Linked DNA regions of Arabidopsis thaliana. The protein of the gene in region 2 interacts with the protein of the main gene of each other region in a pairwise test. Each region holds a gene or a part of one and is shown on either strand. Other genes may lie near its edges. The genes, in order: HYL1 and AT1G50670.

The links.
Region 1: the proteins of AT1G50670 (region 2) and HYL1 interact in binary tests that used the Arabidopsis thaliana proteins (3 or more experiments, as listed by UniProt).

The regions. Positions count from the first base shown.
Region 1 is NC_003070.9:3,137,003-3,142,135, reverse strand, and holds HYL1 (dsRNA-binding domain-like superfamily protein), read left to right. Parts: upstream 1-1,782; 5' UTR 1,783-2,017; coding exon 2,018-2,042; intron 2,043-2,538; coding exon 2,539-2,801; intron 2,802-3,204; coding exon 3,205-4,176; 3' UTR 4,177-4,487; downstream 4,488-5,133. Other genes in the region: AT1G09710 (Homeodomain-like superfamily protein), read right to left, coding at 1-106, 305-391, 653-842, 938-1,017; AT1G09690 (Translation protein SH3-like family protein), read left to right, coding at 4,706-4,942. UniProt on the Arabidopsis thaliana protein: Double-stranded RNA-binding protein involved in RNA-mediated post-transcriptional gene silencing (PTGS).
Region 2 is NC_003070.9:18,774,038-18,779,006, forward strand, and holds AT1G50670 (OTU-like cysteine protease family protein), read right to left. Parts: upstream 2,976-4,969; 5' UTR 2,749-2,975; intron 2,533-2,748; 5' UTR 2,516-2,532; coding exon 2,451-2,515; intron 2,369-2,450; coding exon 2,323-2,368; intron 2,078-2,322; coding exon 1,969-2,077; intron 1,796-1,968; coding exon 1,704-1,795; intron 1,625-1,703; coding exon 1,562-1,624; intron 1,468-1,561; coding exon 1,349-1,467; intron 1,262-1,348; coding exon 1,186-1,261; intron 1,106-1,185; coding exon 1,049-1,105; 3' UTR 768-1,048; downstream 1-767. Other genes in the region: AT1G50660 (actin cytoskeleton-regulatory complex pan-like protein), read left to right, coding at 1-348; AT1G50680 (AP2/B3 transcription factor family protein), read right to left, coding at 3,564-4,577. UniProt on the Arabidopsis thaliana protein: Hydrolase that can remove conjugated ubiquitin from proteins in vitro and may therefore play an important regulatory role at the level of protein turnover by preventing degradation.

The DNA.
Region 1 (5,133 bases), about 16 Mb from region 2:
GAGAACCCTCAGGCAAAGCATAAGGTATGTTTATAGTCAAGGGAGCCTCAACTGTTGAATCGTCGAGTATATCAGACTCACTTAGAACATATGAAGCAGCCATCACCTGGGAATACAAGAGAAACGAAAACTTAATGATATTTGGATAAAATGGGAACTCTGGATAAGCACAGATTGATATGCAGAACAAGTAACCAACACACTAATCATTAAGAAAACAGCAAGGTGTTATCCTGAATAGAGCCTAGGGACTTCAGATTCTGAAATTCTGTCAAGGGAATGAAATCTATGATTCCGTTCTTACTTTGACATGTGCAATAGCCTCCACTGATGCTTCATGGCTGACTGCAGGAGAAGCTTCCAATTCGCACTCCATGTCACTATCGTCGTCCTGCACAGGCAACTTTCGTTTAAAAAATCTGTAAACTACACCAGCGAGAGACACTCATCGATCCCTAATGCTACCAAGAAGTTTTAGTATCCACTGCCACATAGAACATAAACTAGTATTTCATCACACTCACTTCTAGATGATACTGATAACACAAAGTAGTAGTGAGTTTTTATTGAAGAAAACTAACTAACTCTACAACATAAACTTGAGTCTTTTACAATTCATCAAAAGTGGAAAGAGGAGAGACAGAATAAGTACCAGAGGTAGAGCATCATCTTCCACAGGGAGGAGAGGATGCCGATAAGAAAGATGACGCCATAGCAACTGGTACTCTCTAGCATTAGTAATTCCGGTAGTGGTCTTCTTCACCAACGCATTCCAGTCCATCTTGGTTTCGGAACAATAAGATATCTCCTGTAGCATTCTCAGTATCGTCTCCATATCATATCTGCGTCAATAAATCAAAAACCCCGGCCACACTGACTAAACCCAAATCCACTAACGTTTTCGGAAAGAGAAAACAAAAAAAGGAGATATTTTTACCTCAGCAAAAGAGTGGCGATGTCGCCTTCAGTAATGATTCTCTTCCTGCGATTGCTACTAGTATTATTATTAGCAACCATCTTCGTCGTATTTATTGCAACAATTCTGCAGAGAACAGGACAAAGGAATCAAATTTCACCAAAACCCGAGGGAGTTATAGACGAAACGAAACGACAGAGACTTACGCACGAGGGAATGCCCAAGAAAACCGGTGAAGACGATCGGAGAAGAAGATGGTCACGACTGTCGAAGAGCGTGGAGAGTACTCGCGTGGCAGAGGTGTTTCGGAAGAGAGAAGAAAAAAAAGGAACGAAAAGGAAGGTGGTAAATTCGACTATTATTATTCTACGCTTATCAGAAGCGAAAAGTATGGGCTCAAATATTTTTCTTTTCTGGTAAAGGGATATAGGATCAAGTGGGCTCAAATATGGGCTCAAATATTTTTCTTTTCTGTTAAGGGACATAGGCTCAAGTGGGCTCAAATATGGGCTCAAATTGTTTTTATTTTTTATTAAACGGTTATTATCATTATTGATGTTTACTTGGAGAACAAATTAATTATTTGTGAATACAAAAACTGTGTGAATATAACAAAGGGATTACTAGTGAATAAAGTTAGCCATAAAAAGGTTAATCAATTGTGGATATATACATTAGTTAACTACATATGAAATACGAAATTAGGCTATATGTAATTAGTTTTTTAATTAAATTAAATATTTCAAAGATAAAAACATTTTGCTTTCATATAATATTCACAAGTAAATTATATTTATGGAAAATTTGACCAAAAAGGTAAATTTATGGAATATAATATAATTTATAAAGGTTTGAAATTAAATTCAATATTAACATTTGTAACATAACAATTAAGAACCACCTTCTTTCGTTTGCCCTTGTGAAAAAAAAACAAAAATAAAAATCAGTAAAGAGGAGGAAGTCGAGGGGAGAGGGTTTTTGGTGAAGAAGAATCATCTCTCTCTCTCTGCTTCTTCGCAGCAGCAGCACGTTTCTTTCTTGCTCTTCGCCGTGCCCTACTAACCTATTATTCGTCTCTTCAGCTACATTCTGCTCGTGAAAATGACCTCCACTGATGTTTCCTCTGGTGAATTACTTCTTCTTCTTCTTCTTCTTCTTCACCATCATGTCTGCATTATCTCTAATTCAACATTCATGGGTTGTTTTTTCCGGGTTTTAATTTTGAAACCAGATCATGCTTTTTCCCCTTTCTTCTGTTCTTTACTCACTTCTTTCTTCTTGGAAATTGGATTGCAGTGTTTTGATTAGTTAGAATTTACAAGTGTATCTGTCCCTTGTGGGTTTAAGCGTAGATCTCTCTGGCAATTGGCAAGTTTACTCTTTTGAGATGATGATTTATTGACTCAATTTGTTAGGGAACATAGAAGCTTGGTTTAAAACTGTCTCTCCCCTTTTGGATAAGTATAGTTTCTTTGTGAAAGTCGTCAGCTTTATTCAGAACTCGTTCACTGCTGTTCCCTGTTGTCGTTTTGAGTTTATTTGCAATTTATGCTGTAGTGGATAGCATCATCACTGTTTCTGTTTTATCTTTTGCCTCATTTTGAAGTTTTTTTCCTGCTCAGGTGTTTCCAATTGCTATGTTTTCAAAAGTCGGTTGCAGGAGTATGCTCAGAAGTACAAGCTCCCAACGCCTGTTTATGAGATCGTTAAAGAAGGCCCTTCACACAAATCTTTATTTCAATCGACTGTGATACTGGATGGTGTCAGATATAATTCTTTGCCTGGATTCTTCAATCGTAAGGCTGCAGAGCAATCAGCTGCCGAGGTTGCTCTCCGGGAATTAGCAAAATCCAGTGAGCTAAGCCAATGTGTTTCACAACCTGTTGTAAGCACCTCATCTTTCTTATTTCGCTCGTGATTATTGTTAAGTTCACTGCAAAACTATTGAACCTAGCCTAGGGGTTTAGCAGCGAATTGTAGCTTTGCCATCTCAGCAGTAGTCCTTATGCTTAGTTTGAGCGTTGAAGGTTTAAAGGGAAGCTCATGGTTAGTTTCAGAGTTGAAGGTTTAAAGGGGAGCTGTGAGAATACGTTAGGGGGCATTCTGTATTTGTCTAGGCTCTTGGTTGGACAATGATCGAGATTCAAGAGTTTAAAGAATCCACTCATTAATAAAGTGTCTTCTGTCTTATCGGATTTATGTGTATTGCCAACTTCTAGAGGGAAGATTCTTAGGCTGTTTCTGTAAGTTATTGCTCTTGTCTAACTTTGAATGGCTTATTAATGCAGCACGAAACGGGATTATGCAAGAACCTACTTCAAGAATACGCTCAAAAGATGAATTACGCGATTCCATTGTATCAGTGCCAGAAGGTCGAAACTCTTGGGAGAGTTACACAATTCACATGTACTGTAGAGATTGGAGGCATAAAGTACACAGGAGCTGCAACAAGAACTAAAAAAGATGCTGAGATTAGCGCTGGGAGAACTGCTCTTTTAGCGATCCAGTCAGACACTAAAAACAACCTTGCCAACTACAACACTCAGCTTACTGTACTTCCTTGTGAGAAGAAGACAATACAGGCAGCTATCCCGCTTAAAGAAACCGTCAAGACTCTTAAAGCCAGGAAGGCTCAGTTCAAGAAGAAAGCTCAGAAAGGAAAACGCACAGTAGCTAAAAATCCTGAAGATATTATCATCCCTCCTCAACCTACTGATCATTGTCAAAACGATCAGTCAGAGAAAATTGAGACAACGCCAAATCTGGAACCTTCTTCATGCATGAACGGGTTAAAGGAGGCAGCATTTGGGAGTGTGGAGACAGAGAAAATTGAGACAACGCCAAATCTGGAACCTCCTTCATGCATGAACGGGTTAAAGGAGGCAGCATTTGGGAGTGTGGAGACAGAGAAAATTGAGACAACGCCAAATCTGGAACCTCCTTCATGCATGAACGGGTTAAAGGAGGCAGCATTTGGGAGTGTGGAGACAGAGAAAATTGAGACAACGCCAAATCTGGAACCTTCTTCATGCATGAACGGGTTAAAGGAGGCAGCATTTGGGAGTGTGGAGACAGAGAAAATTGAGACAACGCCAAATCTGGAACCTCCTTCATGCATGAACGGGTTAAAGGAGGCAGCATTTGGGAGTGTGGAGACAGAGAAAATTGAGACAACGCCAAATCTGGAATCTTCTTCATGCATGAGCGGGTTAAAGGAGGCAGCATTTGGGAGTGTGGAGACAGAAGCAAGCCACGCATAACAGTGTCAAGATGGAGTCTTGTGAGTTTGTCATAGTTACTATATGGTTACGTAGCCATTTTGTGATTCCTATCTAGTCTAGTAGTAATTCACAGATTGAAGAGAAGTAATATTTGAGCGGAAAATCAAAACTAATATGATTGGTACAATTTGGTGGTCGATTGAGTCATTCGAATAAAGTAATGTGGGGTTGCAAAACAGAAGCTTCATATCTACATATAAATGAAAATTACTCTCAAACTTCATTATTTGTGGGCCGGTTATAAAAACACAAACCCAACAGAAGGTCCATTACCCTCACTCTTCATTATTTGTGGGCTGGTTCTAAAAAACAAAAGTCCAATAGAAGGTTCATTACCCTCACTCTTGATTATTTGTGGGCTGGTTCTAAAAAACAGAAGCCCAACTTGCTGACCCAACAGGTCCGTTTACGAAACCCTAATCTCAAAACAGAGATATAAATACACTCTGCCTTCCTCATTTCATTTCTTCGGCGATCTAGGGTTTTAGTTGTCGCACGAGGAGGAAAAATGCCAGCGGGTCATGGAGTTCGGGCGAGAACGAGGGATCTGTTCGCGAGGCCATTCAGGAAGAAGGGTTACATTCCACTCTCGACTTACCTGAGAACCTTCAAGGTCGGCGATTACGTCGATGTGAAGGTGAATGGTGCGATCCACAAGGGTATGCCTCACAAGTTCTACCACGGTCGTACTGGTCGTATCTGGAACGTCACTAAACGCGCCGTCGGTGTTGAAGTCAACAAACAGGTCTGATGAACTCTCCTATCTCTTCAGCTTTTGTGTCATTGAATTAGGATTTGAGCTTCTTAGTGTGCTATTTGGATTGTTGATCTATTGCTTTGATGTAGAAATGTGTGATTGAGTATAGGTTTGTGGAATGTAAATCTTCTTCTATGCTACAATTGAGCTCAGATTTTGAGTTTTAGCTCAAAGATGTT
Region 2 (4,969 bases):
AGATCAACAGGTGCAAGCAATGGAGATAGAGATAGCAACTACAAGGTAATATCAATGGAAGGTATGAATGGAGGAAGGGTTTCAAATGGGAGAAAGTCAAGCGCGGGAATGGTTTCACCAGACAGAGTCTCGAGCAAAGGCGGATTTAGCCCGATGATGGATTTGGTTGGACAATGGAACTCTTCACCGGAATCTGCAAATCATCCTCATGTAAACCGAGGAGGAATGAAAGGTTGCATAGAATGGCCTAGAGGTGCACAGAAGAGTAGTTTGAAGTCAAAACTCATTGAAGCACGAATCGAAAGCCAAAAGGTTCAGTTAAAGCATGTCCTTAAACAGAGGATTTAGGAGCCAAACCGTTTTTGGTCACAGCTGAACCAGATCTTAATACCCGGGACACTGCGTGCGGTTCTCTAATCTTTCACCGGTTTCAGATGCTGTATGATGTAATAATGTTCCGGGAAAGCAGTCGGGACCAGCAAGCAGCTTAGATCGGGGTTTAGATTTATGTCATTGGTCATTAGCAATTAAGCAATGTGTACTCTAATATCATTATCTCATTATGGAAGAAAAACCTTTAGTAGAGTAAGAGACGCTAATGTTAGAGACTTGTTCATCAATTTATATAATATAGTTACTAGTTTCCGGCAAACTCACCAAATCGTTTTGTTATGTAATGCTCCAATTTGGATTATTGATATTACAGTTCCTGTTTTGGTTAGACAATCTTGTAACGATGTAAGAAACAACATAGCAAATTGTGGAAAATAAATAAAAGCAATACTATCCACATATTGGAAATTTTTGGTTTTAACACAGAGCAAATGAATCCAAAGAAGTTCATTTTTTTCATGGCATTATTGGTGAGACAACAATGATCCTCCTCATAAAGAGGTCATCACTAGAGTAAAGAACACAACACAAGATAATTGCACAACAGACTGAATTTGTATTGTTGACAACATAAAATTAAAATTAAGCACATCATTTTCGTGGTTTACTTTCTTGTTTCTTGGAACTGTATAAAAGAATCAAATCAATCATTCTCTTATTTGTATTCTTGAAAATTAACATGACCAGTTGCTTGAGCATGTTCCACAGCTTCCTGTTTCAAGTTCAAAATTCAAGCTCTGTCTGATCTATGAAATAATATCAAATGAAGAATTAAGGAGACAAAGCAATGACCTTTTGTCCAATAACTCCAATTTGGCAAACACCGCAACGTAGAGTGAAGTTTGCAGTATCTGTGTAACTCCTTTTCCTGAAACAGATAAACCAAATCACAGGCTTATTCTTGTTTCCTTCAGCCACATTCAACAAAACTATGGTTGACACTTATATATATTACCTTTGTTGGTCCTTCACTAGATTCAAAGCAAGCCCTTCAATTGATCCTATGGATCTATCTTTACCAACTGGATATATAGTCATATCAAAATCTTCCTCGGCCCCTTCAAATGGAGACAGCTGGAATATTGCAGCAATGAAATTATAATTAAGCCACCAGTTTTGGACCTTTGATTACCAAGTTATTTTTTCAATGGAGGATATATCAACTTACAGCAAGAGCATCGTAATGAAGACCGTCATAGATCAGCATAACTCTTTCGTCGTAGTTTCTCGTCTACAAAAGGGAAAAGTCCTGTCTAATACATTCCAAGGTTTTTTCTTCAGAATTTGTATGTTGGAAATGTGATGATTACCTGTCCATACAAGTCACATCGACTAGTTTGAATGTCGTAAGCTGCAATTTCTCGACCATAATAATCTGCTAATATCGAAAGCTCAATCGCACCTACACAAAGCAAAAGAAAACGGAAAGACACTATCAATTCAAAATGATGAACCGTACAAACATTATTAGCCATGAAAAATCATGAACAAGAGACATTTACCAACATATCTCGCCTGATACCTATAACTTAATCAATTATGGAGAATCATGTTTTACAATCTAGGAAAATATACCTCCCCACTTGTCTGGATTGAGAATCCAAGCACAATATTCTTCATTGAGCTTCCCTAGAAATGCTTCATTATATTTCTCCTTGTTGCTTGCAACTGCTGCTGCTATCACCTTATCAAGATAGCACCAAGCTAAATGTCTCAGAATTGTTTCTATTATACTCGTGAAATACTCAATTCATGTAGTAACATTCCTTCTATTCGCTATATTAAAATGGACTATATAGAACGGTATCAGTAACTTCTAAGCTTAAATACCTTATGAAGCTGATAAGCTACGAAGTAAAAGAAGCTAAACGTTGAATGAAGCTGAAGTAACTTCAACAGATCAAAGAATGCTAAAAGATATGAACAAACCTGTCTGAGCTCAGGAGCTTTGTTTTTGTCCTTGTCCATGACATAACTGTAGAAGAGAAACCTCAAAGATAAAGAAACACAAGCCTCAAAAACATTCTTCTTGACTTAAAAAAAAAGCTTATTATTACCCGATTGCATTGAAGAGACAACTGTTATCAGATGGTATAACTCTTCTCACAATGATTCCTTCCATGTTATTATAATCTCAAACTATTTGCATTCCAAAAAAAAAAACTCAATTAATCAAGAATTTGTCCTAATCCCAATCTTAAAAAGATGATGAAGAGTGTTGATCCGATCTAATTCTAAGAATCGATTGGAACCAAATCAGATCCATAAGCAAAAGCATCATCATCAAAACAACAAGAACTATAAAGGATAAATTTTTTGCAAAAGTAAAGTATAAAGATTGATTCTTGAGAATACCCAGATGAAGATGAACACCAAACGCGATGAAAGCAAACAACTTTTGAATATAAAACAAAGTTGGGTTCTTGGTTTTGAAGGAATAGACTAGAGAGAAACAAAATCCAGAAATGGGAAGATAAAACTCAAAATTCCAACCTAAAAGGGAAGATGAAAATTGGATCCACCAAAACCCAATGTGAATGAAAAGGAAAGTTAGATAAGAAGAACTCACCGTTGGGCAAGAGATCTGATTTTTGGAATTCAAAAAAAAAGAACTAAATAAAAATCGTAATTATGTTCAAAAACAAAAAAATGTAATTTTGCGTTGGAACAAAGAAAAATATTATAATCTTTTTTACTTTTTGTTGGATGTTGTTAAATAGAATTTCTCTAAAATAAATTTTCAGTTGATTTTACATTTATTTTTATAAAATTATTCAAATTTATTAAGTTCATAAATAATCTTTAGTAAGTTTTATTTGTGACATTTTTTTTTTCTTTTCATTTTTTACTCTTTTATTCTTGAGAAATTGATAAAAACTAATTGACCAGTTAACAAATACTATTGATAAGATTTTTTGGTTAAGTCTTTCTTCTTATAAGGCCAAAAGCTTCTGAGCTTGTCATGAGTAAACTAGCAATCTTGGTGGTTATGCATTGCGAGTAGCTCACTTTGATAATGGTTATCGAAATCTAAACCAGTAACGAAGCATTGAGAAAATCATTTAGTAAACCAATCTCTAGTTAAGTAAAACAATTTTGTTAATAAAAATTCATGAGGTACAAGTAAAACAAGTTCTAGTTGAAGTAAGAAACTTTTAAAGAAAAATTCCCTAAGGACATTCGATCCTTACACCAAACAGCATAAACCCTCCTTTGTTCTCCTCTGATTTGGTTTCTTTATCTTCTAACATGGAGCTAACCAAGTTTTCTGTTTTCTTTACTTGCACTGAACTGTCATGAACCGTCATACTTACTTCCTCAGCTACCACGGAACCGTTGTCTGAAAAGCAATGAACATCGATCATCAAGAAGTTCTTTCTTTGACCTTCTAATGTCTTCACATTGTTCGGGACATCGCAAGTGTAGAAGGCAATAACATCCTTCTCCTTGAGATTCTTCTCCTTCACGAAACTATTCCATCCTCTGGTGAAGACAAAGCTCTGGCTACTTTTCCAGTAACAATACCTAAACTTCCATTGTCTCATTGCTCTGTCGTAAAACACAACCTCCACATCTTCCACAGATCCTACTATTTCACCCTCTTCTTTCTCGCTTTGATCAGCGCTTATGAAAGGCATATACTTCACTGCATACTTTTTAGGTATCACAAGCCTATTTAGTTTCCCTACATCGCTCGGTGTCAATTCCTTCTGAAAAAGCTGTGTGCAAGAAAAACACTTGTCTGATTCTTGATTCACTTCTCCTCGGGCTTGTTTTGGTCCCCCGATGTTGATACTCGCAACAATCTGAGATCTGATTCTGAGAAAATCTCTGAATTTGTGTTGGTACGAACCGTCTCTGATCATGTTCAACACAGTCTCTGTTGTGTAGCAATTTTGAAAGTCTGGTTCGTTGAGAGTGATTGTAGACCAAGGGAAGTTCCGGTGCGAGTTAGCGTCAAAGCTTCGGAGTTTGATAGATGCACTATCGTAAGCCGTGGCGGCTTCATCAGCGGATTTGAAAGTTCCAAGCCAAATCCTTTTGTGGTCTGCGTAAATCTGGGCACCCCAATGACCGTTCTGTTGCTGAACGACTCCTTTGTACTTGACATTGCCAGAAGCCACAACCGTCTTTGGTGAAGACGAAACCACTAGGGCGTTTTCTGGTTCGTCATCAAGTCTCATGCGTTTCTTGAGAGGCAAGAAAGAGTCGCTTGAACCTGAAGACACTGAAGTCTCCGTCTTTGCGTCGTCGATGTTGTTCATTAGAATTCAAGAAACAGAGTAGTAGAAAGATACGAGAGACAGAGAAAGAGAAGCGAAACAAAACGATGAAGAAATATGAGGAACAGAGAGAGAACTATATAAAGAGAGCAAATCGTGGGAGCAAATTGTGTTTCTTAATCTTGTTGTTTCTTGCGGTGCTTGAGTATTTATCAAGTTATCATTTTCCATTTTCTATTTGTTGTAGTTTCTATAATTTAGCTATGAGAGAAAATTATGGAAAGTATTGAAATTAAAGAATTTCCATGTTTCGTCGGTTCATTAATTACTTGATATATCTGATTGGATAAAAA